Macaca mulatta: one gene and its partners. The protein of the gene in region 7 binds, or shares a complex with, the protein of the main gene of each other region. Links are inferred from orthologs where the notes say so. Each region holds a gene or a part of one and is shown on either strand. Other genes may lie near its edges. The genes, in order: GPKOW, RBMX2, DHX16, HTATSF1, DDX46, EFTUD2 and SF3B2.

Evidence for each region.
Region 1: SF3B2 (region 7) and GPKOW share a complex: the UniProt entries of both Homo sapiens proteins name them as parts of the minor spliceosome. The link is inferred for Macaca mulatta from reciprocal best matches to the Homo sapiens genes SF3B2 and GPKOW.
Region 2: SF3B2 (region 7) and RBMX2 share a complex: the UniProt entries of both Homo sapiens proteins name them as parts of the minor spliceosome. The link is inferred for Macaca mulatta from reciprocal best matches to the Homo sapiens genes SF3B2 and RBMX2.
Region 3: SF3B2 (region 7) and DHX16 share a complex: the UniProt entries of both Homo sapiens proteins name them as parts of the minor spliceosome. The link is inferred for Macaca mulatta from reciprocal best matches to the Homo sapiens genes SF3B2 and DHX16.
Region 4: SF3B2 (region 7) and HTATSF1 share a complex: the UniProt entries of both Homo sapiens proteins name them as parts of the 17S U2 SnRNP complex. The link is inferred for Macaca mulatta from reciprocal best matches to the Homo sapiens genes SF3B2 and HTATSF1.
Region 5: SF3B2 (region 7) and DDX46 share a complex: the UniProt entries of both Homo sapiens proteins name them as parts of the 17S U2 SnRNP complex. The link is inferred for Macaca mulatta from reciprocal best matches to the Homo sapiens genes SF3B2 and DDX46.
Region 6: SF3B2 (region 7) and EFTUD2 share a complex: the UniProt entries of both Homo sapiens proteins name them as parts of the minor spliceosome. The link is inferred for Macaca mulatta from reciprocal best matches to the Homo sapiens genes SF3B2 and EFTUD2.

Annotation. Positions count from the first base shown.
Region 1 is NC_133426.1:49,200,929-49,204,790, reverse strand, and holds part of GPKOW (G-patch domain and KOW motifs-containing protein), read left to right. Parts: intron 1-1,007; coding exon 1,008-1,117; intron 1,118-3,304; coding exon 3,305-3,518; intron 3,519-3,862. UniProt on the Homo sapiens protein: RNA-binding protein involved in pre-mRNA splicing. As a component of the minor spliceosome, involved in the splicing of U12-type introns in pre-mRNAs.
Region 2 is NC_133426.1:136,863,392-136,867,999, forward strand, and holds the start of RBMX2 (RNA-binding motif protein, X-linked 2), read left to right. Parts: upstream 1-1,472; 5' UTR 1,473-1,487; coding exon 1,488-1,492; intron 1,493-1,703; coding exon 1,704-1,819; intron 1,820-3,271; coding exon 3,272-3,323; intron 3,324-4,608. UniProt on the Homo sapiens protein: Involved in pre-mRNA splicing as component of the activated spliceosome. As a component of the minor spliceosome, involved in the splicing of U12-type introns in pre-mRNAs.
Region 3 is NC_133409.1:152,391,310-152,395,270, reverse strand, and holds the end of DHX16 (pre-mRNA-splicing factor ATP-dependent RNA helicase DHX16), read right to left. Parts: coding exon 3,938-3,961; intron 3,851-3,937; coding exon 3,732-3,850; intron 3,607-3,731; coding exon 3,539-3,606; intron 2,952-3,538; coding exon 2,789-2,951; intron 2,691-2,788; coding exon 2,529-2,690; exon of another isoform or gene 2,493-2,528; intron 2,277-2,492; exon of another isoform or gene 2,233-2,276; coding exon 2,059-2,232; intron 667-2,058; coding exon 538-666; downstream 1-537. UniProt on the Homo sapiens protein: Required for pre-mRNA splicing as a component of the spliceosome. Contributes to pre-mRNA splicing after spliceosome formation and prior to the first transesterification reaction.
Region 4 is NC_133426.1:142,836,157-142,839,488, forward strand, and holds the end of HTATSF1 (17S U2 SnRNP complex component HTATSF1), read left to right. Parts: intron 1-458; coding exon 459-596; intron 597-1,181; coding exon 1,182-2,384; 3' UTR 2,385-2,714; downstream 2,715-3,332. UniProt on the Homo sapiens protein: Component of the 17S U2 SnRNP complex of the spliceosome, a large ribonucleoprotein complex that removes introns from transcribed pre-mRNAs.
Region 5 is NC_133411.1:143,701,937-143,705,798, forward strand, and holds part of DDX46 (probable ATP-dependent RNA helicase DDX46), read left to right. Parts: intron 1-730; coding exon 731-844; intron 845-1,529; coding exon 1,530-1,695; intron 1,696-2,533; coding exon 2,534-2,654; intron 2,655-3,862. UniProt on the Homo sapiens protein: Component of the 17S U2 SnRNP complex of the spliceosome, a large ribonucleoprotein complex that removes introns from transcribed pre-mRNAs.
Region 6 is NC_133421.1:69,266,634-69,270,495, reverse strand, and holds part of EFTUD2 (116 kDa U5 small nuclear ribonucleoprotein component), read left to right. Parts: intron 1-1,198; 5' UTR 1,199-1,898; coding exon 1,899-2,003; intron 2,004-3,862. UniProt on the Homo sapiens protein: Required for pre-mRNA splicing as component of the spliceosome, including pre-catalytic, catalytic and post-catalytic spliceosomal complexes. Component of the U5 snRNP and the U4/U6-U5 tri-snRNP complex, a building block of the spliceosome.
Region 7 is NC_133419.1:8,360,807-8,365,223, reverse strand, and holds the start of SF3B2 (splicing factor 3B subunit 2), read left to right. Parts: upstream 1-1,560; 5' UTR 1,561-1,585; coding exon 1,586-1,718; intron 1,719-1,873; coding exon 1,874-1,920; intron 1,921-2,227; coding exon 2,228-2,305; exon of another isoform or gene 2,306-2,427; intron 2,428-3,041; exon of another isoform or gene 3,042-3,170; intron 3,171-3,734; exon of another isoform or gene 3,735-3,790; intron 3,791-4,303; exon of another isoform or gene 4,304-4,315; coding exon of another isoform or gene 4,316-4,351; coding exon 4,352-4,417. UniProt on the Homo sapiens protein: Component of the 17S U2 SnRNP complex of the spliceosome, a large ribonucleoprotein complex that removes introns from transcribed pre-mRNAs.

The DNA of each region.
Region 1 (3,862 bases), on a different chromosome or scaffold from region 7:
CGCTAGTAAAATTACAAAAATTAGCTGGGCATGGTGGAACATGTCTGTAATCACAGCTACTCAGGAGGCTGAGGCAGGAGAATCGCTTGAAACCAGGAGACTGATGTAGCAGTGAGCTGAGATTGTGCAACTGCACTCCAGCCTGGGCAACAGAGCAAGACTTCATCTCAAGAAAAAAAAAAAAAAAAAAGAAAACCTTGGAGTCATCCTCAATTCCCCTCTTTATTTCATGCCCCATACACTCTGCCAGCACAATCCTTCATCTTTTTTCAAAATGACACCCAGAACTGACCACTTCTCACCGCCACGAGCATCTCTCATCTGGACTATTAGAGTAATTTCCTCACTGGTCCCTCTTATGGCTCCCACCTGGCTCAGGGTCCTCTGACTCCTGCCCAGCTCTCCTGATTTGATCTCTTCCCCACCCTTCTCTGCTCTCTACTCTCACTATCTCCATTTCAGTCATGGTGACTTTTACCCCTCACACATACCAAGCCTTGTCCAGCCTCAGGGCCTTTGCTGTAACTGTGCTTTCAGCTCGGGACACTTTCTTCTCATATCCTCATGGCTCCCTCTGCTATCATTTCCTGATCTCTGCTTAAATGTCAACCCAGAGGCACTCCCTCTCCATCCCTCTGCATCTTCTTACCCTGCTTTCTTGTTCTATACGTCACCACCTGACATATCATGTTTTCTGGGTTTTATTTATAGTATGTCTCCACAACTAGATCAGAAGCTCTGCAAGGGTAGGGGTTTTTGTCTGTTTGGTTCACAGCTTCATCCCCAGTACCTAGAACAGTACTTGCCATAGACTAGGTGCTTTCTATTTGTTGAAGGACTGAACATGGAGGAGTACAGTGAGGGATGGAAAGAGGAAATCAAAACACCCTTGAGCTGATTGGAAAAGATGCGTAGCAGGTCTCCCAGTGGGTGGCAGCAAGTGCACTTCAAACAGAGGACCCAGTGTAAGCAAAGCCTGACCCTCCTTCCTCTACCTGAACCTGTAGGTGCCAGAGGAGGCTAATTATGAGGCGGTCCCCGTGGAGGCCTATGGGCTGGCCATGCTGCGGGGCATGGGCTGGAAACCTGGCGAGGGCATCGGCCGCACCTTCAATCAGTGAGTTCTGGGATAGGGGCGAGGGGACAGACAGATCAGGCTGCAATCAAGATCCCCAGGGTCACTGCCAAACCAGAACCACTCCAGGCAGGGAGGGAGGATACATTATCGCCCTAACTAATTCAGTAGCCCCTTCCACTACTGTTTTAAACTCCCATTTGCCCTTTGAAACTCTAATAGGATCCCATTTATATAAAGTCTGCCTCTAGGGACATCAATTTCTTCATCTGAAAAATGGGGGTAATAGTACTGACTTCACAGGTCTGTTGTGAGAGTTAAATGAAATTATACACATAGGCCAGGTAGTGGCTCATGCCTGTAATCCCAGCATTTTGGGAGACTGAGGCAGGAGGATCACTTAACCCCAGGAGTTTGAGACTGGCCTGGGCAACATAGGGAGGCCCCATCTCTACAAAAGATTAATTCATTTTAAGAAAAGAAATTAGGCCGGGCGCGGTGGATCAAGCCTGTAATCCCAGCACTTTGGGAGGCCGACAAGGGCGGATCACGAGGTCAGGAGATTGAGACCATCCTGGCTAACAGGGTGAAACCCCGTCTCTACTAAAAAATACAAAAAACTAGCCGGGCAAGGTGGCGGGCGCCTGTAGTCCCAGCTACTCCGGAGGCTGAGGCAGGAGAATGGCGTAAACCCGGGAGGCGGAGCTTGCAGTGAGCTGAGATCCGGCCACTGCTCTCCAGCCTGGGCTACAGAGCGAGACTCCGTCTCAAAAAAAAAAAGAAAGAAATTAGAGCCAGGCGCAGTGCCTTGTGCCTGTAATCCCAGCACTTTGGGAGGCTGAGGCGGGTGGATCACAAGGTCTGGAGATCAAGACCATCCTGGCTAACACGGTGAAAGCCCATCTCTACTAAAAAAAAAATACAAAAAATTAGCCGGGCATGGTGGCGGGCGCCTGTAGTCCCAGCTACTCAGGAGGCTGAGGCAGGAGAATGGCGTGAACCCAGGAGGTGGAGCTTGTAGTGAACCGAAATCGCACCACTGCACTCCAGCCTGGGCGACAGAGTGACACGCCATCTCAAAAAAAAAAAAACAAAAAAGATAAACTATATACGTAAAGCACATACAGTAGGCCCTGACCCCAAGAAAGCGTAGACTAAACATTTGCTATTGTCATGCAGACTTACAACCCTTTCTTCGCAATTGCAAACTCAAGAATTGTGAAAACCAAACATTTTTTTCATAACCCATTGGCAGCCAACTATGACCTGAATTGGCGTTGAGTTTTTTTTTTTTTTTTTTTTTGAGATGGAGTCTCTGTCTGTCACCCAGGCTGGGATGCAGTGGTGCAGTCTCAGCTCGCTGCAACCTCTACCTCCTGAGTTCAAGTGATTCTCCTGCCTCAGCCTCCTGAGTAGCTGAGATTACAGGAATGCACCAGCACGCCTGGTTAATTTTTGTATGTTTAGAAGAGATGAGGTTTCCCCATGTTGGCCAGGCTGGTCTTGAACTCCTGACCTTAGGTGATCTGCCAACCTCAGTCTCCCAAAGTGCTGGGATTACAGGCATGAGCCACCGTGCCCAACCATGTTGAGTTTTTATAGTCCGTTTCTCCTGCTTGGTGTGAATATTCATATGATTTCCCCTGTAGAAATAGTATATTTGGTTACAGTGATCTGCCTCTGATCTCACTGTAGATATTATGTAATAGATGGTATATGCAGCATGTTATTAGGTCGAACCAAATGAAATTGCTGTTTCTGTAGGTCAAAAACAGTCCTAATATGAGATCGGAAAGGGCAACCTTGAAAATACCGATGGGGGCCAGACATGGTGACTCACACCTGTAATCCTAGCACTATGGGAGGCCAAAGAGGGCGGATCAGCTGAGGTCAGGAGTTCGAGACCAGCCTGACCAACATGGTGAAACCCTGTCTCTACTAAAAATACAAAATTAGCCAGGCATGGTGGCATGCTCCTGTAAACCCCAGCAACTTGGGAGGCTGAGGCAGGAGAGTCGCTTGAACCCAGGAGGCGGAGGTTGCATTGAGCCGAGATTGAGCCATTGTACTCCACCCTGGATGGCAAGAGCAAAACTCCGTCTCCAAAAAAAAAAAAGAAAAGAAAAGAAAATGTCAATGGTGGGGGTGGGGGTTTGGGCAGGGAGAGGAGGTAAATAAGGTGTTGAAGACTATTGCATCCTCTCCAACAAACCCATGTTCTCCCTGCAGAGTAGTGAAGCCCCGTGTCAACTCACTGAGGCCCAAGGGGTTAGGGCTGGGTGCCAACCTGTCTGAGGCCCAGGCCTTGACCCCCACCGGCCCCTCCCACATGCCAAGGCCAGATGAGGAGCAAGAGAAGGATAAGGAAGATCAGCCTCAAGGGCTGGTGCCAGGAGGAGCTGTGGTGGTTCTTTCTGGCCCTCACCGAGGCCTCTATGGGAAGGTAAGGAACCAAGATATCCCGGGAGCCCAAAACAGGCAGTAGGGAAGGTTGATCCGAGGGTCAGATGGAGGAATAATTGGGTTTGAGGTAGAAAGGCTGGGAGTCCTAGTCTTTTAGGTCTGCTTGGCCCACTGCCTCACTCAGTAACCCGGGACCACTTGCTGGCCTTTGTGAGCCTCAGTTCCCAGCTAAAAGGAAGAGAGTGCCATATGCCACAAGTCCCTGAGGATTAAATGCTTAAAGGATCCAAGGAAGCCCCACAGTCAGTTGAGGGAGACACAGGAACCAGACCTAGTCCCACTTCTTAGGGATCAGAGTCTGGTTGGGGAGACAGAGGAAGCAGG
Region 2 (4,608 bases), on a different chromosome or scaffold from region 7:
ATATGTTAATCATCTCTTCCACTGGTTTCTAGATATTTCTGGTTGAAATCTATCAGGCAAATATATCTTGTCCCCTTAATTATAATATTAGCTCCTTGAGGGCAGAGGACCCACCCTGATACTCCTGTCTACAGACCTTAGCTGCACAGGACAAATCTAGATGTTCAGTAAGGACTGATTGAATCAACCTGACCTACTGGGTGCAGGTACTCTAGTACCTTTCTAGTTAATTTATTCATTTGAGCCTCATTTCTTCCTCTACAAAACGAGGGTGGAAATTTCTTTTACTTTCTCTTTCTTTTTTTTTTAAAACAAGGAGTCTCGCTCTGCTGCCCAGGGTGGAGTGCAGTGGTGCGATCTCAGCTCACTGCAACCTTTGCCTCCCAGGTTCAAGTGATTCTCCTGCCCCAGCCTCCCGAGTAGCTGGGATTACAGGCGTGTGCCACCATGCCTAGCTAATTTTTGTATTTTTAGAGGAGACAGAGTTTCACCATGTTGGCTGGGTAGGTCTTGAACTCCTGACCTCAGGTGATCCACCTGCCTTAGCCTCCCAAAGTGTTGGGATGACAGGTGTGAGCCACCACACCTGGCCCCCCCCTTTTTCCTTTATTTTAGAGACAGGTTCTGCTATGTTGCCCAGGCTGGTCTCAAACTCCTGAGTTCAAGCAATCCTCCTACCTCAGCTTCCCAAAGTGCTGGGATTACAGGCATGAGCTGCTGCGCCCGGCCAGGAATTGTAATTTTATCTGCTTCATTGGGTTGTTGTGAGGGTGGAGAGACAATACATGTAAATTGCTTAGCACATACTCTAGTATCATACAGTACATCATCTGCTCACTTGCTAGCTATTAATTTAACAATATTAATTTCTGTCTCCTGCTCAACTAGGAGAGAGCCTATGGAAAAGAGTAAGTGCAGCGGCTCTCATGCAAATCTGTAGGTATTCAATTCAGCCTATAGAGGCACACTGGTCTGTTGCCTATGTATTGGGATAAGAACAACAGAAGATTTACCTTTTCACCTATCTTCTTCACTTTTCTGCCATGACAGGGATGCTTTGATGGGTCTGTGCGTGAGCAACTGACTAGGAGCGAAGGTCCAAGTGGGACTCTGGACTGGGAGCGAGGGCTGAGACTAAAGTCGCCACATCAGGCTGCTTATTCCGTTCATTCAGCAAATATTTATAGCTAATCTAACCAGTTTCCGATATCGTTCAAGAGCTGGGGGTCCTGCAACAGCCCAGGCTCGTGCCTTTACCCCATTTCACAGAGGAGAAAAAGCGAAAAATTAGAGAAAAACCGTTTCTACAAGAGGTAACTGCAAAGAACGCGGAAGGCTTCTAGTGCGCAGGCGCCACGCCCCGGTACGCCCCAGCTCTTCCGGCGCGAGGTCACCGACTCGACGAGCCACCGGCGCCGGGGCCGCGCATGCGTGGCGCTGCCTTTCCCGGGCGCTGATTCCTGAATGCTGAGCGCGAGCCCGCGGAGATGAAGTAAGGCGTCAGCTTCCTTTTGAGGAACGAGCAGCGGGCCGCTGAGGGTGGTCTACCGGGGCTGGGGTGGTAGAGCGTCTGCGGGGTCGAGGGGCGGGAGAGGCGCGGGGACTAGCACAGCTCGTCCCCTTGTTTTGCTCTTCTTCAGCTTCGGCCGGTTAGCATTTACTTGTCTGCTTTTCTGCCTCCCCTCCCCCCCGCCACCGTGAAGTCCTTTAACTAAGGTGAAGCTGATCAACGAGCTGAATGAACGAGAGGTCCAGCTTGGGGTGGCCGATAAAGTGTCCTGGCACTCCGAGTACAAGGACAGCGCCTGGATCTTCCTGGGTGAGGTGCACATCTTTCTTCCGCAGTGCTCCCAAGATTCTCCTGCTCGGTGTCCGACTATTTCAGCATTTTCACCCTTCACTCCTGCTTACATTCATTGCCCTCCTTTATATCCATCTGCTGTCTGCCCGGGAATCCGTGTTCCATCTTTTTTTTTTTTTTTTTTTTTTCTGCCCCATTTTTAGTTTTCCTTCCCAGCCAAATCAGTGCTCATGAGAGTTACTGTTTGCCATTTGCTGTGCTAAGGTTCAGGGACTGTTGTTATTTCTCTCTCACCCCCTGACCCGTTATTACAGCTGAGGAAATTGGGGTGCAGAGAAGTTAAGGGACTTCCTTAAGGTCACATAGCTAATAACCGCAACAGGCAGAACTATAGCTTTCTAGAACTCATGGTCTTAGCCACAGCCCCATATTGCTACCACCGCCCTCCCCCATTCCCCTTCCCTTGCAGAATTCACTTTGCTCCTCTAGCTCCTGCTTTCTGACCATGGCCACACTACCATTACTGTATTCACTTTATATCACAACCAGTAATTGTACAAGTTTGATGCTTCAAAGAGGTTATTGTAAAAACGTTGTGCTAAGCACTTTATATGCATCGTTTTATTTAACTCTTATAACAGTCTTGCGAGTTACCTGCTAATATCCCCATCTTACAGATGAGGAAAGAAACATTTGGAAGGGAAATTATTCCCTAGGAAATGCTTAACAGTGTCTTTATAACCTTTGTCTATGTGTAGGTGGGGTTAATCATGACATATGTAGACTAATTTTGTATCATAGCTGTAAATTTGTGGGTAATGAGCAGATGAATTCAACATGTTTGTGGAAGCAGAGGTTTGTGATGGAAACTATCTGCTTTGCCCATAGGATTTTGGGTGCCAGGAGGACTGAGTGATCAGTTTACTTTTGTTAGTGGTGACACTGACTTCCACTCAAAATTAGTCACTCCTTTTCCTGTTCTACTGGCACCTTACATGTACTTCTGTCATTGCATCAGACTTGATTTCTTTCTTTCTTTTTTTTTTTTTTTTTTTGAGTTGGAGTTTCACTCTTGTTGTCCAGGCTGGAGTGCAGTGACGTGATCTCGGCTCACTACAACCTCTGCCTCCTGGGTTCAAGCGAGTCTCCTGCTTAAGCCTCCTGAGTAGCTGGGATTACAGGTGCCCGCCACCTCGCCCGGCTAATTTTTTTTGTAGTTTTAGTAGAGACGGGGTTTCGCCATGTTGACCAGGCTGGTCTCGAACTCCTGACCTCAGGTGATCCACCCGCCTTGGCCTCCCAAAGTGCTGGGATTACAGGCGTGAGCCATGGTGCCCAGCCCAGACTTGATTTCTTTAAGGGCAGGGCCTGTTGCTTACTGTTTGCACCCCTAGTGCCTGGCCTAGTGCATGGTACGTAGTAAACACTTGGTAAATGTTGGTGGAACTGAAATGTGGTTTTCTTTTCTAGGAGGGCTTCCTTATGAACTGACTGAAGGGGACATCATCTGTGTGTTCTCACAGTAAGTCCCCTTTCATTTCCTGCCTCCTGAGTCGACAGAGTACTTTTTTCTGTAATGCATTTTGTGGCATCACAAAAACCACTTATTTTCACTCTAGGCTGAATGGCGTCCCTGCATGGGGAGGGCTGGAGCTTCTGCTCTAGTCTAGATCAGTCCCAGGACATGGTTCTAGAATGTTCTCCTGTGGGAGATCCAAGAGGTTTGTTAATTTGGGAGGCCATCTTGGGGATTCTAGTCTATTTCTGTTGTTTTTCACTGAGGTTTGTTCAGCCTGGGCCTAGACTGGAACAGACTGGAACCCTCAGGAAGGTTCCATATTGGTACGCCTCCTTGGGCTCTTGCAAACTAGGGGTAACCCATGGTCACAGGGCCCTTCTGGTCCTTGCCTGTGTGGCATCATACGACTGGGGCAAACCACAGAGGAATTGGGATGAAAAACAGAAAGAAGGTTGTAGTTTGCTTTCTTTGATTCTCAATGAATGTAAGGTTAGTGAGCAAAGCCAATCTCTACCTGGAGGCTGAGAATCACAGCCTGACGAGGAACAAGAATGAATAGGAGATCTGTATATTCTTCATTCTGCTGAGGTGTTGGCAGCAGCATTTGGTGGGAGAGGGTGTTGGTGGCTCATACTGGTAGTAGCAGCTAGTAGGAGAGGGGCTGGGCAGCTGGCCTGCAACCCCAGAGGTAAACAGCACAGTTAGTCCACAGGGCCAGAGGATCTTGGCACAGGTGCAAAGGACCACTACATTTGGGTTTTGTAGGCCTTCAGAGCATAGTACTGTTTCAGAGAAGTTGGACAGCATGTACAGGTAGCAGACCATGGCAAAAGGGGCTGGCCAAGCAAACACAGGTAGCATACACTGGCAGAGGGATTGCTATGGCAGGATGGTAGGGCCATCCATGGACAGAGGGCCCTGGCTGAGTGGTTGGGCCACTTATGGGGCAGCAAGCCATGGGAAAGGAATTGGGCAATACCCGTGAGAAGAAGGCTGTGATAGAGAACCTGGGCAACCCACACGAGTGGAGGGCCCTGGCAGGGACAAAGATTGCTTCCTTCAACTTGTGGATGTTGCAAGGTTCACAGCAGGTGCAGCCTATAATTTCTACCCCTTTGTGTACTTCTACTCAGCCTTCCCTCTTGGAGCTGTTTAGTTCTACTTGCATTGAGTGATGATCAGCTAGCACGTGTGCTTGTTTGTTTATTCTAATTCTCTATTCTCTATTCTGGTTACACACGTTGCTCTCCATGAAGATTGCCGCTGATAACAGTGCCTTTCAAAAAAC
Region 3 (3,961 bases), on a different chromosome or scaffold from region 7:
ATTTGTCGCCATCGTCTAGATAAAGTGAGTCCTAGGTAGGGCTGGGTGGGGTGAAGGGTAGAACATCTGTGTGCCTCCCGCAACTGGCATTAACCTTTCTCCTTGCAGTTGATGCCTTCACACTCACCTCCAACACCTGTGAAGAAGCTGCTAGTGGGAGCCCTGGTGGCCCTGGGGCTGTCAGAGCCAGAACCTGACTTAAACCTGTGTTCCAAGCCCTGCTTTGAGTGGGGGCAGCACTGAAGACTGCTAAGCCCAAGAGAAGGAGGTGGAGGCAGCCAAGAATCTCAGGAGCCAGCTTCCTCCCTTTCTCTCCTGCCTGCCTTTCCATCTCATGCTGTGTAAAGCTGCTCTGTAATTTAACTTGTAAATAATAAAGTTTAACTGACTATATGAGATAGAATTTCATGTATCACTTTCTCTAGATCCCAAATATTCCCACAAGCTTTATTCCAAAAATAATTTTATTTAATAGGTATTAAATAATGTATAGAAGGAAGAGGAGCTGGTGTCACAGGTTCTGTTTACGTCCTTCTCTTACCCTAGCTCTTCTCGTGTTTTGCCTATTTTTTTGGGCATTTTCTTAGCATGGGGATCTTCTAGCTCCTTGGCCTTATAATAATGGGGAGCCACCTCCAGAAGCCAACTGCTCTCAATCTCCAGTACCTAGGAGGAGAGAGAAAAGATCAATGGAGTTCCCTTCTTTCCAACATAGATCTTTTGTGTATTATTATTTTTTTCTTAAATTGAAACAGGGTCTTGCTCTGTTGCCCAGGCTGGACTGCAGTGGCGTATCATGGCTCACTGCAGCCTCGACCTCCCAGGCTCAAAGCAGTCCTTCTGCCTCAGCCTCCCAAGTAGCTGAGACTACAGGCACACATCACAGTGCCCCATTAATTTTTTGTATAGATGGGGTCTCAGTATGTTGCCTGGGCTGATCTTGGCCTCCCAAAGTGCTGGGATCCTGCCTTGGCCTCCCAAAGTGCTAGGATGGTTTACAAGAATGAGCCACTATGCCCAGCCCCAACCTAGATCCTCATGTGTGTGGTCAAAAGTTATCTTTCCTCTTTGACTGCAGGGCTAGGGGTAAAGGTGCCTGGCTCTATTATTATATATCCAAAGGGCAGATACACCTCTATGTGTTATTCAAGATACCAAATAAGCTATTCCTAAGAAAAGTCTAGAACATGCCGGGCGTGGTGACTCACGCCTGTAATCCCAACACTTTGGGAGACTGAGGCGGGCGGATCATGAGGTCAGGAGTTCGAGATCAACCTGGCCAACATGGTGAAACCCTGTCTACTAGAAATACAAAAATTAGCTGGGCGTGGTGGTGGGCACCTGTAATCCCAGCTGGAGGCTGAGGCAGGGGAATTGCTTGAAACTGGAAGGCAGAGATTGCATGAGCTGAGACTGTGCCACTGCACTCCAGCGTAGGCTACTAGAGTGCGAAACTCTTGTCTCAAAAAAAAAAAAAAGAAAAGCCTAGAACATAGACAAAGTACTCTGTGAGACGAGACACTCTGCTTTGTTCATTATAGCCCCAGCACCTATACAGTAGCCATTCAAATATGTATTGAATAAATGTCTAGTTCTCAGATCTTGGAAGATGCTGACACCTGTTAGAAAGGATGTCTTTGGGCTGGGCACAGTGGCTTACAACTGTAATCCCTGCACTTTGGAAGGCCGAGGCACACATTTAAGACCAGCCTGGCCAACATGGTGAAACCTCATCTCTACTAAAAATACCAAAAATTAGCCAGGCATTGAGGCTTGCACCTGTAATCTCAGCTACTTGGAAGGCTGAGGCATGAGAATATCTTGAACCCGGGAGGCAGAGGTTGCAGTGAGGCTAGATTGCGCCACTGCACTCCAGCCTGGGCAATAGAGCGAGACTCAGTCTCAAAAACAAAAACAAAACAAAGGATGTCTTTCTATTTTACCCTACCTTCCTCTTTCTGTACCAGTCCCAGCAACTTGAACCTGGGTTCTTAGCTTGTCAGGATACCATCTCTCTACATAGTCTCCACCTGTGTGGGCACAGGATGTTGTCCTCACCTGTCTCATGAACTCTTTGGTAGTCAAGACAAGTTCGTGGTAGAGCAGCCAGCGTGGCTGTTGCTCAAAGAGGGAGGAGTTGGGATGAATGAAGACCGTCTGCTGCTGTTTTACTGTGCGGTAGCCGCTCCGAGTCAACCGTGCCGTGTGGTAAAAGTAACCAGCAGTGATGGCCTAAGGAGCAGGCAGGAAAGAAAATCAATGGAAAAGGCAGACATCTGGGGACCCTAAGAGCTCACTACCTTTTTAATTCCAGCTTCAGGAAAACTAGAGAGGTAAGGAATGCATGAAGAACTTCCCAGGAATGAACCTCCAGTGGTCTGGGGAAGAAAGGGCCCTGGGAGGACACCGTCATACATAAGGGGAAGAGGGCATGCTCTCAGGCTGGAGGAACTGCTGCATGCCCCTAGAGAAGCTTGCTCCTGGGAAGGTACTGGGGGTGGAGAGCAGGAGGCTGAAGAAATGCTGACCTTGCGTACACGGATATAGTCCCCCTGGCAGGAACTGAGACCAACTTCCACACGTTCCAAGAGCCCTTCCAGCTGTTCCCGCACATCCCGGGCTCGGCGCATTGATCTGAACTGTACAAAGTTCTCATAGCACCACTGGGAAGAGTAACCACTCTCGGCCCACTGGGAAAAGGATTAAAAAGAAAGGAGAGACAGTTAAGTATACAGTAGGACTAAAGTCCCCCGGTGTCTCTCATTCCCACTCACCCAAGCCCAGTGACCTGTGTGTAAACATTTAGCAGAACCAGGTGGTCACCACCAGGGAGAAAGAAGTTGACACGGGCGTTGTCAGCATGGACGACCTTGTCCTTTGGTCGGTAGAAGATGGAGTTGTTGACAGAGAGCATGGCAGCCACTGTCAGGATCTCCTCTGAACAGCTGTACCTGGGACAGGAAGGGGAAAGCATGAGTTCAAAGCAAGACACATAGGAACAGATATGGTGGAGTGGGGAGTGATCACTGTGTGATGGATGTTCCCTCATGTGGAAAAGGCTGGTTGGCCTAATGGCTACAAAGCAGCCAGCAGATAGATTCTGGCAGCAGCCTGGGGGTCAAGGAGGTAGGGGCCATAGATGAAACACAGTCACAAAGGAGGGACATCCATGGAGGCAGGAGCAGGAAACACTGGGGACTTCTGAGGCTTCTGCAGAAAGTGTGCATTCACTATGTGCATTTGGAAAAGATCTCTGACAGCAGAGGAATGGCATTTAAAGGTCGTCCCTCCACAGCTACATTAAATGTTTTAGTTTCAAACCTTAGGAACGAGTAAGTTCCTCAAGGGGCCAGGCACAGTGGAATCAAGGATAGGATCAAGTGTCTTACCCTCAAAAGAGGGCAATCAGAGTTATCTAATACTTTCTTATGTGTTAAAGGATAATATGATGAAGAGAAAACGACAAAGAGGACCCCAGAGACAAGAGGAGGCCTGGCCAGTATGTGTGCTGGGAGACCAGGTGGAGGGGAGGGCTTACTTCTCAGAGGCTAAGATCATTTTGGACAGCATGGGGTCCACCGGCAGCTCTGCCATCTTTCGACCAGACTAGGGAGAGGAGAGAGAGAGTTGAGCTCAGTCCTCCCTCAGGTTTCCCACTACTACTACAGGGGCCCCTGGAGCCATCCTGACCCCTATCATCCTGCCCCAAGCCATGCTGCCCCCCAACTCACCGTAGTGAGCTCCCCAAGGTGGTTGAGGGCTCCCAGAGCATACAGCTGCTCCAAAGCCAGCAGCAGTGTCTCATATGGTGGAGCGTCCAGGAAATCAAAGTGCATTAGGTCATGGATCCCTAGACAGAGGTGTGACAGATGGAACACAGTCCCTTCAAAGGACAGTGACTCCAGCCCCTCCCTCCTCTCTCAGGTAGCCCAATCACCTAAGCTCTTGAGCAGCAACACGA
Region 4 (3,332 bases), on a different chromosome or scaffold from region 7:
ACTTTACATGTTATCTTACTTAATTCTCAAAACCCTTTGAGGCAGGTTAGCACTATTATGCCCATTTTACAGATGGGGAAGCTAACACTTTAGAAATTGAGCACCTGGCCCAAGGTTGTTCATCTAGTAACTGACAGAGCCAGGATTTAATCCCAGGGCAATATGACTTCAGAGTTTACACTCTTAACAATTATACTGTCCTGCTTCTCATTAGACAGGGATGTCAGCAGAAACATTTCCAAGGACATTGTGCTTGGTTCTTGCTAGGTAAGATTAAGGTAAAGAAGCAGCTGACTGCATGTGACTGGCTGGGATAAAAGGGAAGAAAGACTTCATACATAAAGTCTTTTACTTCAGAGTATCAGAGAGAACACTACTACTTACCTACTTTGTGAAATGTATGTGTTTTATTTTTAATCTTACCGTTCATTCCTTTTTTTTCTTTCTTGTCTTTCTAGAGGCACCCAGATGGTGTGGCCTCTGTGTCCTTTCGGGATCCAGAGGAAGCTGATTATTGTATTCAAACTCTGGATGGAAGATGGTTTGGTGGCCGTCAAATCACTGCCCAGGCATGGGATGGGACTACAGATTATCAGGTAAATTCTGCAGCTTGTCAGGGACACACACGTTGTTTCATTACCAACAAATACTGATCCTTCAGATCTAAATTTTGGGTTTGGTTTAACCTATTTAATGTAACAATGCTTCTTTTCTTTTTATTTATTTATATGTTTTAATTTTTTACTCTTCCTCTTTATTATTTACAGTGCTTCTTTTAAATAATATTTTGCATTCAGAAGATAAAGAACTATTTGAGTTTTTCAGTTTATAAGTCTGAAAGTTTGAGGCTTGTTCAGAATAGTGATAAGAAAAGAACACATTCAACCAAATGTTACTCTTCCTTTGTATGCTGTGAAGTATGGACAGAGCTCAAATATTAACTTTTTAAGAGATGAGACATTTCTGCAGTACTGTGATATTTGGCCTTTATTCAAGTGATCTTATTTAAGGTCAACTCTAGTAAATCAAGATGTAAAGTTTTGAAAACTGAAGACAGGGTATTGCTTTCCTAAGAAGAGATGCTTTATAAAATTAAGGTTGTTTCATCAATATTAGATATGTTCAGAAAAGTAACCTTTTGCCTAAAACTTATTTTAATGGCAGTCTCCATTTATCCACAGGTGGAGGAAACCTCAAGAGAAAGGGAGGAAAGGCTGAGAGGATGGGAGGCTTTCCTCAATGCTCCGGAGGCCAACAGAGGCCTTAGGCGTTCAGATTCTGTCTCTGCTTCCGAAAGGGCAGGGCCTTCTAGAGCAAGGCATTTTTCAGAGCACCCCAGCACATCTAAAATGAATGCTCAAGAAACTGCAACTGGAATGGCGTTTGAAGAACCTATAGATGAGAAGAAGTTTGAAAAGACAGAAGATGGGGGAGAATTTGAAGAAGGTGCTTTTGAAAACAATGCTAAAGAAAGTAGCCCCGAAAAAGAAGCCGAAGAAGGCGTCCCTGCAAAAGAATCTGAAGAGGGCTGCCCCAAAAGAGGGTTCGAAGGTGGCTGCCCCCAAAAAGAGTCTGAAGAAGGCAATCCCGTAAGAGGATCTGAAGAGGGTAGTCCTAAAAAAGAGTCTAAAAAGAAGGCACTCAAAAATGATTGTGAAGAGAATGGCCTCGCAAAGGAATCTGAAGATGACCCCAACAAGGAATCTGAAGAGGAGGCTGGCCCCACAAAAGAGTCCGAAGAAGATGACTCAGAGAAAGAGTCTGACGAAGACTGCTCTGAAAAACAGTCTGAAGATGGCTCCGAAAGAGAATTTGAAGAAAATGGTCTCGAGAAAGATTTGGACGAGGAAGGCTCTGAAAAAGAGCTTCATGAAAATGTTCTTGACAACGAGTTAGAGGAAAATGACTCCGAAAACTCTGAATTTGAAGATGACGGCTCTGAAAAAGTGTTAGATGAGGAAGGCTCTGAGAGAGAGTTTGACGAAGATTCAGATGAAAAGGAAGAAGAGGATGATACATATGAAAAAGTATTTGATGATGAGTCCGATGAGAAAGAGGATGAAGAATATGCAGATGAAAAGGGGCTTGAAGCTGCTGGTAAAAAGGAGGAAGAAGGTGATGCAGATGAAAAGCTGTTTGAAGAGTCAGATGAAAAGGAAGATGAAGATGCAGACGGAAAGGAAGTTGAAGATGCTGACGAAAAGTTGTTCGAAGATGATGATTCCAATGAGAAGTTGTTTGATGAGGAGGAAGATTCCAATGAGAAGTTGTTTGATGATTCTGATGAGAGGGGGACTTTGGGTGGTTTTGGGAGTGTTGAAGAAGGGCCCCTATCCACTGGCAGCAGCTTTATTCTCAGTAGCGATGATGATGATGATATTTAATCCCTTAAACTTGCTTTTTAGGGAGAGTCCTCCATCTACATTTGCCTGTGCTTCAGGGTAATTACTAGTAGTGTTACATGAACATGTGCATAGTGGTAGGATGCCATCAGATTAAAGCATTGAAGTTTTTCATTGTTACCTGTACCTAATGGTTTTAAATATATGTTAATTGATTGTTTAGTTAAAATGTCATAGTTACAATGCAAGTAAACTGGATACTTGTTCTTTTGTCAGATTTGTTAAATGCATGCAGAATAATATTTTTAAAAGCATTGATTGAAGTTTGTGATATTCATCAATAAAAAGTTGATAATACGCAGAAACTGAAAATTGGACTTGAGGTAAATTGCATTGTAAATTCTTGATACCGCTTTATTTATACTGACGGTTGGCTTTTCTGAGGACTTGAAGAATCCCTTTGTAGTCTCCTTGCTTCCCGCTGGTAGTAGCACATATGTCTCCATTTCCTCTCTATAAACCAGAACATGTTCCTAAACTCAGAAAACAACCCTCTGGATTTGCTTTTTCTGCCCAGCCCTTGCAAATTAACTCTTGTTTGTTTTCTACCCTCTTTCCATTAAAATTGACTCTCAGATGTGCAAAAGTGAATTTCCTGTGGTCTACAGCTCCCATTATTATTAAAAATCTAGAGAACCAGATTAGAATTCTGCCTTGTACTGTTAGCCTCCTTGGGCCCCTTTAGAAGTTAATTCAAGTTAGAGGACCTCTTCCCAGAAAAAAATGGGGAGGTTCATGGATGCCCTGAAGTTGAAGAACTTCATGCATGCTTCAGTTGTTCGTTTTTTTAGAATCTTAGTGCCTAGCACTGTGCAAAGTTGTGTAGTCCCAATAAAATTGTGGGTCTTTCTTGATTATGCTTTCCAAATTCAGTATTGATGAATTTACTTTTGATGTAGCATTAAGAAGCTGTTCTCAGAAATTAGAAGC
Region 5 (3,862 bases), on a different chromosome or scaffold from region 7:
TGCCAACATGGCGAAACCCTGCTTCTACTAAAAATACAAAACTTAGCTGAGTATAGTGGCGGGCGCCTGTAATCCCAGCTACTGGGGAGGCTGAGGCAGGAGAATTGCCTGAATCTGGGAGGCAGAGGTTACAGTGAGCTGAAATCATGCCATTGCACTCCAGCCTGGGTGACAAGAGCAAAACTTTATCTCAATAAATAAAGTATATATAATATTATATAGAATTATCTATAATACAGTAAATGATAAGTGGATGTATTATAAAATATAATTATATTATGCTTAAAAATTTATACAAATTAATGAGAAAAACAGTCTGTTGTTTCTATTTTCATTTAATAACTCAGTTGGCTCAATGTCCTGGCTCACAACTGCAATCCCAGAACATTTGGTAGGCTGAGGCTGGTAGATCACTGGAGCCAAGCAGTTCAAGACCAGCCTGGGCAACATAGCATGACTCTTTCTGCCAAAAAGCAAAAAAAATTAACTGGGTTTGGTGATATGTGCTTATAGTCCTAGCAACTCAGGAGGACAGATGGGATGACTCCTTGAACCCAGAAATTTGAGGTTACAGTGAGCTACGATCACACCACTCAAGCCTGGGTGATGGAGACCATGTCACTAAAAAAAGAAACTAAAGACGAAATTTTGTCAGTTATTGTGGGCTTCGGCTGTCATATAACTTGCGTTTCAGCTTTGCAAAATATTCTATATTTCTTCTTTATTTTAGAAGTCTGGGCCAACGGTCACAAAAGTTGTCACTGTTGTGACAACCAAAAAAGCAGTTGTGGATTCTGATAAGAAGAAAGGTGAGCTGATGGAGAATGACCAGGATGCCATGGAGGTGATTTTTCATTAATTTTGACTTTGTTTATGATACTATCCTGGAAGCATTTATTAGAAAGCATTCATGGAGATGTGCTTTTCATTTATGTGAACTAGGAGAAATTCCCAGAATTGGGAGACATTCTTGCTATTCTTAGTAGTAGTATAGTATCTAGTTAAATATCTATTTAGTGGAACATTCTGATGTCTTTCATTCCTAACTGTATGATCTTTCTGCCCCTCATCAGCTCACTTCAGGCATACAATATGGAGAGAAAAAAATGAAGTAACAGAATGAATTAACTTTCTTTCCATTAACACGTATTGTAAAGATTTATATAGTAAAAACAGTAGCAAAACCTTATTAGAGCCGTCTCTGATCATTACTGTTTTAGCTTTATATTGGCATTTTAACTCTCTAAAGGGCAAAGAAAAAGAAAAGTAAGTCGAAAAATTCTTCAGGAGCTTCTTGATGTATTTCTAATTCAAGATGACATACATCATTTGAGGTGATTTTAAAATTAAGAGGTTTAAGTGTGCTGGAGCACTATAAAAATCTTGTGGGTCAAACAGTGTATTGCAGAAAGTAAAAAAATTAGAGTAGTTTCTAGGAGAGGAAGATTTGAAAAGCTAGGAGTATTGCTTCCCACAAGAGGAAAATAGTAATGAGCTTACCTCTTTAATTTTTTTCTTTTAAACTATAGTATTCTTCAGAGGAGGAAGAAGTTGATCTTCAGACAGCCCTTACAGGGTATCAAACAAAACAGCGAAAGCTTCTAGAACCAGTTGATCATGGAAAAATTGAATATGAGCCATTTAGGAAAAACTTCTATGTCGAAGTTCCAGAACTAGCAAAAATGTCTCAAGAAGGTAAAATTCCATTTTTTCATTTACTAACAGAAGAGGATACATTTCACATTACTCAAGAGAAATGTGGATAGTGTCTGATGAAGGAGGGTGTTTTCGAAATATTTTTAAAATGATCAAAAATTAATTGGCCAGGTGCGTTGGCTCACACCTGTAATCCCAGCACTTTGGGAGGCTGAGGTGGGCGCATTGTTTGAGCTCAGAAGTTCGAGACCAGCCTGGGCAATAGAGTGAAACCCCATCTACTAAAATACGGAAAAGTAGGCCGGATGCAGTGGCTCACGCCTGTAATCCCAGCACTTTGTGAGGCCTAGGCAGGCAGATCATGAGGTCAGTAGTTCGAGACCATCCTGGCCAATATGGTGAAACCCTGTCTCTACTAAAAAAAATACAAAAATTTTAAAAATTGTTTGTTTTGTTTTGAGACAGGGTCTCTCCCTCCATTGCCCAGGCTGGAGGCTGGAGTGCAGTGGTGCAGTCATGGCTCACTACAGCCTTGATTTCCTACCACACCCCACATCCCCCTGATAGGCTCAGGTGATCTTCCTATGTCAGCCTCCTGAGTAACTGGGACTACAGGCATGTGCCACCACACCCAGCTAATTTTTGTACTTTTTGTCGAGGCAGGGTTTCACCATGTTGCCCAGGTTGGTCTTACAACTCCTGGGTTCAAGGGATCTGCCTGAGTCTGCCTCCCAAAGTGCTAGTTGCTAGGATTACAGGTGTGAGCCACTGGGCCTGGCATAAGAGTTAAAGATTCTTCATCTTATGCCTAATTGAAAAGTAGAAGACACCAATAGAACAATATTTAAGAACTTTTAATCTGGGTTTTGTTTTGTAGAGGTAAATGTGTTTCGATTGGAAATGGAGGGCATTACAGTTAAAGGAAAAGGTTGTCCCAAACCAATTAAATCCTGGGTCCAGTGTGGAATTTCCATGAAGATCTTAAATTCCCTCAAAAAGTAAGTGGTTGGTGGTTGTTTATGTTTTCTGTGTCTTGCTGCTCAAAATAGTCCTTTCACACCAATGTCTCCCTGAGTTACATTTTTACTCTAAAAACAACTTACGTTTAAAAAAATTGTTTTATTGAGATAATTTACATATCAAAATTTACCCTTTAAATTATACAACTGCTTTTTTTTGTTGTTTGAGACAGAATCTTGCTCTGTTGCCCAGGGTAGAGTACAGTGGTGCGATCTCACTGTGCTCACTGTGACCTCAGCCACCCGGGCTCAAGCAGTTATCCTGCCTCAGCCTCTTGAGTAGCTGAACTATAGGTGTGCGCCACTACGGCTGGTTAATTTTTAAAATATTTTTAGTAGAGACCAGGTTTCCCCATGTTGGCCAGGCTGGCCTTGAAATCCTGACCTCAGGTGATCTGCCCGCCTCAGCCTCCCAAAGTGCTGGGATTACAGGCGTGAGCCACCATCCCTGGCTTTTTAAATTTTTTATTTATTTTTTTCTTTTTTGAGACAGAGCCTCCCACCTCTTCCCTCAGGCATGCATTGGCATGATCTCGGCTCACTGCAACCTCTGCATCCCGGGTTCAAGCGATTCTTGTGCCGTAGCCTCTTAAGTAGCTGGGATTACAGGTACCCGCCACCACACCCAGCCAATTTTTGTATTTTTGTATTTTTAATAGAGACAGGGTTTCGCCGTGTTGGTGAAGTTGGTCTCAAACTCCTGACTTCAAGTGATCCCCCCACCTTGGCCTCCCAAAGTGCTGGTTAAATTATGCAACTTGGCTGGGACAGGGTCTCACACCTGTAATCCCAACACTTTGGGAGGCCAAGACAGGCAGATCACGAGGTTAAGAGATCGAGACCATCCTGGCCGACATGGTGAAACTCCGTCTCTACTAAAAATACAAAAATTAGCTGGGTGTGGTGGCGCATGCCTATAGTCCCAGCTAACCTGTAGTCCTAGCTACTTTGGAGGCTCAGGCAGGAGAATCGCTTGAACCCGGGAGTCAGAGGTTGCGGTGAGCTGGGATTGTGGCACTGCACTCCAGCGTGGTGACAGAGAGAGACTCTGTCTTAAAAAAAAAAAAAAAAATTATGCAACTTATATATATATATACACATATATATATATTTTTTTTAGACAAGTCTCGCTTTGTCACCAGGCTGGAGTGCAGTGGCGCAATCCCGGCTCACTGCAACTTCCGCCT
Region 6 (3,862 bases), on a different chromosome or scaffold from region 7:
CCTTGCCCTCCCAAAGTGCTGGAATTACAGGTGTGAGCCACTGCACCCAGCCAGTTAACTACTATTTAAGACAAAATTAAACACTGATAAAGGTGCAAAAAGCTCTAGTAGGATAGGGGAATGAGAAATTGAGGAGCTAGGAAAGCTTGAAGGAGGTGGTGGCATTTGAACTGTTTCTTTGAATAGAATTTCAGTAATTGAAGTGGAAAAAACCCACAAAACACTACTTACTTACAAAGGGAAAATGAGTAACTTTACAATAGAGAGGCCTGGCAAACATCACCTTAATGAAGTGATCAAAGTTAACGTTACCACCAATGAGGCAAATTGAAATCATGTATCACCTGATAGGAAATGCTTTGAGAACCACAGTTCTCACATGTTCTCACAGCATCACTTCTATGATATTCCTGCCTAAAACACATAACCTGAATATTATCATAAGGTAACATCAGACAACCTCAAATCAAGGGACATCCTTAAGGATGTCACGACAGTCCTTGGAAGGAAAGACTGAAGATTGTAAATCCAAAGAGACTAAAGACATGACAACCAAATGCAAACATGATCCTGGATTGGATCCTTGGGCGTGTAAGATATTATTGGAACAATCTGTGAAACGTATTGGAACAATCTGTGAAACTTGAATGGGATCTGTAAATTAGGTGGTAGTAATGTGTGAATATTAATTTTCTGATTTTGATGGTTGTGTTGTGGTTATGTAGAAGAATGTTCCTGTTTGTAGGAATCACACAAGGTGAGGGAGAGGTTGGCAAACTTTTTCTGTTAAGGACTGGATAGTATTTTAGGCTTTGTGAGCCATATGGTTTCAGTCCCAACTACTCAACTCTGCTATTACAGTGTAAAGGTAACTGTAGATGATGTAAATGAATATGCATGGCTGTTTTCCAGTGAACCTTTTTTTTTTTTTTTTTTTTTTTTTTTTTTTTTTGAGATGGAGTCTCGTTTTGTCTCCCAGGCTGGAGTGCAGTGGTGCCACCTCAGCTCACTGCAACGTCCACCCCCTGGGTTCAAGGGATTCTCCTACATCAGCCTCCTGAGTAGCTGGGATTACAGGCATATGCCACCATACCTAGCTAATTTTTGTATTTTTAGTAGAGACAGGGTTTTGCCATGTTGACCAGGCTGGTCTCGAACTCCTGACCTCAGGTGATCTGCCCGCCTTGGCCTCCCAAAGTGCTGGGATTACAGGTGTGAGCCACTGCGCCAGGCCTCCCAATGAAATTTTTTAAGTAGACACAGACATTTGAATTCCTTATAATTAATTTTCATGTATTGTGAAATATTTTTCTTTTGACAATTTAAAAATGTTGAAAAGCATTCTTAGCTAGAGGGCCATGCAGAAACAGCTGGAGAGGCCAGATTTGGCCACAGGCCAGAGTTTGCACACCCTTACACTAAAGTATTAGGAGGTGATGAGCCACTGTGTCAACAGCTCACTTTCAGATAATTTAGGAAAAAGTAAGTTGTTTGTACTATTCTTGCCACTTTTTGACATTGAGTTATTTTAAAATTAAATTTGGTATTAAAGAAGTGGAGGAAGGGGACCTCCTCTTTTGGCTTTGGAGCACCCCGCCCCATCTCTGTAGTGGGGAGCTTCTTCCTTCTGTCTTCTTTCCTTCTTGCCTATTAAACTCTGCTTGAAACAAACAAACAAAAAAAAAGTGGAGGGAAGACTACATAAATAGAGACATGTAGGGCAGAGACTTGGGTAAAGTACTGGTCTTTGGGAGGAGCCTTCAGTAGATTGATGTCACTGGGAGGAGGCATGTTCTGAAAGGGGTATGGCCAACTATAAGACTAGGTAGGTGGGGCCACCACATGGAGGCCATGATTACTTTGCCAGAATCTAACTCCTTTCCTTGAATTTTAGCATCATGGACACCGACTTATATGATGAGTTTGGGAATTATATTGGACCAGAGCTTGATTCTGATGAAGATGACGATGAATTGGGTAGAGAGACCAAAGATCTTGATGAGGTAAAGCAAATATATTGCTCTTTTCATCTCGCTCTTACTTATTTTTATTTAAGACAAGGTCTCACTCTGTTGCCAGGCTTGAGTGCAGTGGCGCAATCTCAGCTCACTGCAACCTCCACCTCCTGGGCTTAAGTGATTCTCCCATCTTGGCCTCCCAAATAACTGGGACTACAGGCATGCATCACCATGCCCAGCTAATTTTTTTTATTTTTCATAGAGACAAAATGTTGCCCAGGCTGGTCTCGAACTCCTGAGCTCAAGAATCCACCCGCCTTGGCCTCCCAAAGTGCTGGGATTACAGGCGTGAGCCACCATGCCCAGCCCCCTCTTTTCTTTTCTCTCTCTCTTTTTTTTTTTTTTTTGAGACAGCCTCACCCTGTTGCCCAGGCAGGAGCACAGTGGCACCATCTTGGCTCACTGCAGCCTCTGCCTCCCAGATCCAAGCGATTCTCATGCCTCCGCCTCCTAAGTAGCTGGGATTACAGGTGTGTGCCACCATGCCTGGCTAATGTTTTTTGTATTTTTAGTAGAGACGGGGTTTCACTATGTTGTCCAGGCTGGTCTTGAACTCCTGACTTCAAGCAATCCACATGCCTTGGCCTCCCAAAGTGTTGGGATTACAGGTGTGAGCCACCGCGCCTGGACAGATTTATTTTTTTTTAATTATATTGAGGTATATAACAGAGATGCATAGATTTTGGTAATGGAGACAGGAAAGAAAGATGTCCATTCTAAGACTGGGCGCATTGGCTCATGTCTGTAATCCCAGCACTTTGGGAGGCTGAGGTGGGCGGATGACCTGAGGTCAAGAGTTTGAGACCAGTCTGGCCAACATGATGAAACCCCATCTCTATTAAAAATACAAAAATTGGCCGGGTGCGGTGGCTCAAGCCTGTAATCCCAGCACTTTGGGAGGCCGAGACGGGTGGATCACGAGGTCAAGAGATCGAGACCATCCTGGCTAACACGGTGAAACCCCGTCTCTACTAAAAAATACAAAAAACCAGCCGAGCGAGGTGGCGGGCGCCTGTAGTCCCAGCTACTCGGGAGGCTGAGGCAGGAGAATGGCGTGAACCCAGGAGGCGGAGCTTGCAGTGAGCTGAGATCCGGCCACTGCAGTCCAGCCTGGGAGACAGAGCGAGACTCCGTCTCAAAAAAAAAAAAAAAAAAAAAAACACACAAAAATTAGCTGGGCATGGTGGCATGCACCTGTAGCCCCAGCTACTCCGGAGCCTAAGGCAGGAGAATCTCTTGAACCCAGGAGGTAGAGATTGCAGTGAAACTCCATCTCAAAAAAATAAAAAAAATTAAAAATTTTAAAAAACAATGATAAAAGAATACTGGTTTAGTTTTATTTTAGACTTGTTGAGCTACTGTAGACTCGGTAGAGGTAATTACAGGCAGTCAGAAATGATTATATAAAATCCTGCAGTTAGATTCATAATATATTCAGCAGTATGGGGCAGTAGAAAACTGGCTTGATAGCTATTTTGGAGCCACCACCAGTAAGGTATATGTGGCTGCCAAAAGAGCTAATGTAATCTTAGGCCAGTTTAGTAGAAGTAGAGTGTAAGATGGTAGGAGGTAGCCAGTCTTACCACTGGAGGGTTTTGTGTTCTTAAGGAAGAGGTTGGCATGCTGTAATTTGTGTGAAGGAAAGCAAGCACCCAGCAGTCCCTCTACCCACCTGCCTACACCTGTACTCATATACGATGCCTTCCTTTCCATTCTTATGAATTATTTGTTCATGCTTCTGTCTACTAGAAACTAATCCCATCCCTTCTCACCTCTCAAGACCTTTGGCAGTTCTGCCCTCTCTCTCCTGTGCCATCAGTTTTCCCTGTCTACCAGTTCATCCC
Region 7 (4,417 bases):
GGAGCAGAAGAGCCTTCCTTTGGGCTAGAAAGGTTCTGCCTGAGTGGGCTGACAAGCTGGAGGGAAGGGCACCATTGTTCTGTCTTCCTTACTGTCCTTTCCAGGTTTGGCTTCCCCTCTGGGAGTGGCAGCAGGAGCCTGCCATAGTGATATTGATGCAAAGGGGAAAGGTCAAGGTTTGGGTAGGAGGAAGAGGACTTCCCACCCAGTGCTAGGATGTGAGCCAACCTTTCTCAACCCAATCCTTTTCCCTGTCTCTCCCAAACCTCACCTTCCCCAGACCTGGTGCCCCATTCTTTTTTCCCCTGTTCCCAGCTTCTTCTCCACGGGGGGCAGTTGGCAAAATGGAGCTGGAGAAAAGATCTGAAGGGGATGTTTGGGGGAAAATGAGACCATTTCACTGAAGTCTCCCCATTCCCGTACTCAATACACATAAAAACACACACAGTGAGCCTGGCTGTTAGTGACAGGGCAGAGCTAGTGGCAGAGGTGGGGAGAGAAATTGAATTGATGGTGTGGGACAGCGAGAGGTGGATGCTAGGCAGGCAAGAATCCCTGCCAGTATCTGCCTCTGTCCCCAAAGACCACGGGGAGTTGGGGTGGGGAGTGGGCGGCAAGGTGGGCCCCCAGTGCAGGTGCGGCTGAGGGAAAAGGGGCCTGAGTTTATTTTTGAGACTAAAAGACACAAATACTGTCACCAGAAACATTGTTCCTTTTTCCCAGTAATCATTTATTGGGCGCCTCTTGAACGGCAGGTGATGCGAGACTGAAAAAGATCAAGTCCCTGCTCACATTTTTGGGATGCAGGTAGGAAGAAAGGGCAAGAAAGACTTATCAAACGGTGGAGATTCGAATGTATTATGGGAACTCTAAGAAAGGAAAGGAAAGCGGGAGAAAGCTTAGTGAAGACGACATTTGAGCCGGCTTGGAAGGTGGAAAAGGGGGCTTTAGTGTCGCCCTTCCCCCAGGTCGGCAGCTGGAGCTCAGCCCGGGCGGGCCCGCTCCTCTCCTGGCTCGGATCCCCTTTCAGCCCATTCATCCGGGCCTGGGCCGGGGGTGGGCGGGCAGACAATCAGACACTGTTTTATCCCGGGCATTGGCTCCAGCCTCCCGCTTGGCGCCCGCAACGCGGAGCCGCCGGGGAAATGAGTCTCTCGGGACTCCCTGGGAGCGTAAGAGTCCGAGGCTCTGACCGGGGAGCCGGGCCGGAAGGCTTGACAGCCTGCGCTCCCGCAGGTGAGGCGCAGAAAACACTCCCTCCGGGCAGGGCCAGCCTTCCCCGCAGCCCCGCCCTCCGGCCCGCCGCCGGCCTTCTGGGCCGTAGCCTGGCGCAGGGCCCGCAGAGACCGAGACCTGCGCACTACAACTCCCAGGAGGCCTAGCGACCAGACGGCCGAGGGGCCACTGGAGAAAGGGGCGTCTGCGGCGAATCCCGTCGCCTAGCGTACCGCAGCGGGTGGGCCTCCGTGCGCGTCGCCTCCCAACCAGAGAGGACGTGGCGTACGGCGCCGCCGGAAGTTCCGGAAAGTGGGCCCAGAGGCCGGCCCGAGCTTCCGGGTTGGTCGCGCGCCTTGCTGCGGCCAAGATGGCGTCCGAGCATCCCGAGCCTCCCAAAGCGGAATTGCAGCTGCCGCCGCCGCCACCTCCAGGCCACTATGGCGCCTGGGCTGCCCAGGAGCTTCAGGCCAAGTTGGCAGAGATCGGAGCTCCGATCCAGGGTGAGGAACACAGAAAGTCGAGGGACCTTTACGGGCCTGCGGAGAAGCGGAGCCTGGTTACCCGGGAGACCCGGGCGCGAGGGGCGGAGGCGGGCAGCTGGGGTCTGACCTGGCCGGGCTTGCCTGCTCCATTGATCGTGTACTTTGCCCCGCAGGTAATCGCGAGGAGCTGGTGGAGCGGCTGCAGACCTACACCCGCCAGGTAGGTGTTGGCGGCGGGACGTCAGGATAGGCCGAGCTTCTCCAGGAGACCTTATATACCCCATCACGGCTCGGTCTTCATTCTTTCTTTATCTTGGCACAGCAAGGCGGAGGCTTGCCCTTTTTGGCTTGTTCTTGCCTTTGCCAGCTTAGTTGTAATTTCTTGTATCCATCTTGGTCCTCTTCAGTGCCCAGCCGGAGCGCTGGCAGACAGGCACTGGATACGTTTTGTTAAATGAATTGGGAGAGATCGTCGATTAGTGAAACAGCTAGTTTTGGACTGACCTAGAGTCCTTTCTCTTTTGCAGACTGGCATCGTGCTGAATCGGCCGGTTTTGAGAGGGGAAGATGGGGACAAAGCCGCTCCACCTCCCATGTCAGCGCAGGTAGGGAGGTTCTTCCATTTTTTAAGATTCTATCTGCTGATCCTTTTGTAGTTCATGAGCATGATGATTCGGTGTTCGCGTGCATGTGTGAGACGTCACACCCTTGCACATCTCGCCTGACCTGAGTGGGGAATAGAAAGATTCCATCTGTTCAGGGTAGCCCTTCCTCTCAATTGCAGTGTACTTGAGATGCAACTGACTGACTGGGCAAGGAGGTACTGCCATGACAGAATTGTGAGCTCTTCAGTTCTCTCTTTGATGCTGATACTTGCCTCCTTTTCCACTGTCTGCTTCTCCAAATTCTACCTGTCATTCAAGATTCAGCTTGTGGCCAGGTGCAGTGGCACATGCCCGTAATCCCACCACTTTGGGATGCTTAGATGGGAGGATCACTTGAAGCCAGGGTTCGAGACCAGCCTGGGCAACACAGTGAGACTCTTGTTACTACAAAAAATTTTTAAAAATTAGCTGGGCACGGCAGCACATGCCTATAAAGTCCAAGCTACTGTCTAAGCTGAGGCTCAAGGATTGCTTGAGCCCTGAGGTTCAAGGCTGCAATGAGCTCTGGTTGCGCCACTGTACTCCATGTACTCCATCCTGGGTGACAGAATGAGACTTTACTTCTCTGAAAAAAAAAAAAAAAAAAGGTTGGGGGGTGATGGGGCAGGGGCTGGGAGATTGTCAGGAAAAATAGCAAATGCACGCCAGAATTAATACCTAGGCAGTGGGTTGATAGGTGCAGCAAACCACCATGGCACACATTTACCAATGTAACAAACCTGCACATCCTGCACGTGTGCCCCAGAACTTACAATAAAATAAAATAAAATAAAAAAATAGGGGGAAAAAAAAGAGGCAGGGGATGGTGGCTCATGTCTGTAATCTCAGCACTTTGGGAGGCCAAGGCGGGTGGATCGCCTGTGATCAGGAGTTTGAAACCAGCCTGGCCAACATGGTGAAACTGTCTCTACTAAAAATACAAAAATTAGCTGGGCGTGGTGGCACATGTCTGTAATCCCAGCTACTTGGGAGGCTGAGGCAGGAGAATCTCTTGAACCCAGGAGGCGGAGGTTGCAGTGAGCCAGTGAGCCGAGATCAGGCCACTGCACTCCAGCCTGGGCGATAGAGCAAGACTGTCTCAAAAAAAAAAAAAAAAAAGAGAGAGGCAGGGCGTGGTGGCTCACGCCTGTAATCCCAGCACTTTGGGAGGCCGAGGCGGGCAATCACTTGAGGTCATGAGTTTGAGACCAGTCTGGCCAACATAGTGAAACCTCGTCTTTCCTAAAAATACAAAAATTAGCCGGGCATCGTGGCAGGCGCCTGTAATCCCAGCTACTTGGGAGGCTGAAGCACGAGAATTGCTTGAACCTGGAAAGCAAAGGTTGCAGTGAGCTGAGATTGCACCATTGCGTTCCAGCCTGGGTGACAGACTCTATCTCAAAAAAAAACAAAAAACAAAAAACAAAACAGCTTGAATACAAGGAAGCCCGACTTGTCCCTACCCAGCTGGAAGCAATCACCCTCTTCTTTGCCTGCCCCAGGAACAGTTCCCATGTTCTTTTGTGAGACATTGAGAGCTCCCTGATTTGATTTCATACTCCTTGCATTTAGCAGTCATTGGGGTTTGCATTGCCCTGGTACAGTGGTTCCTGTTTATTTAAGTCCTCTCAATTTCCATGTTGCTTCTGATCCAGGATTTGCTTCTTTTTCTCTAAAGCAGTGGCTCTGACCTAGGATCTATTGATTTCTGTGTGTAGAATGAGGAGTCCCTAGATGGCCTCAGAGGTGTCTTTGAGTCTCCTGGAATTGTATGCAGAGTCTGTATTCAGGATATCTTTCTGGAGAGAGTGGATAGCTTATTGTGGTTGGTGCCGGAAGTTAACATTCTCATATCTTTATAGGGCTATGGAGCATTCTCTCTTACGAATTAGGAACTATGTGTCATTTGACTTAGAATCCCAGCTCCTGACTCAAAGTAGATCCCCCAGATATGTGCAGATGAGTAGATAAATGTTTCCTAATTTTATGATCATATTTTCTCCACAGCTCCCTGGAATTCCCATGCCACCACCACCTTTGGGACTCCCCCCTTTGCAGCCTCCTCCACCTCCC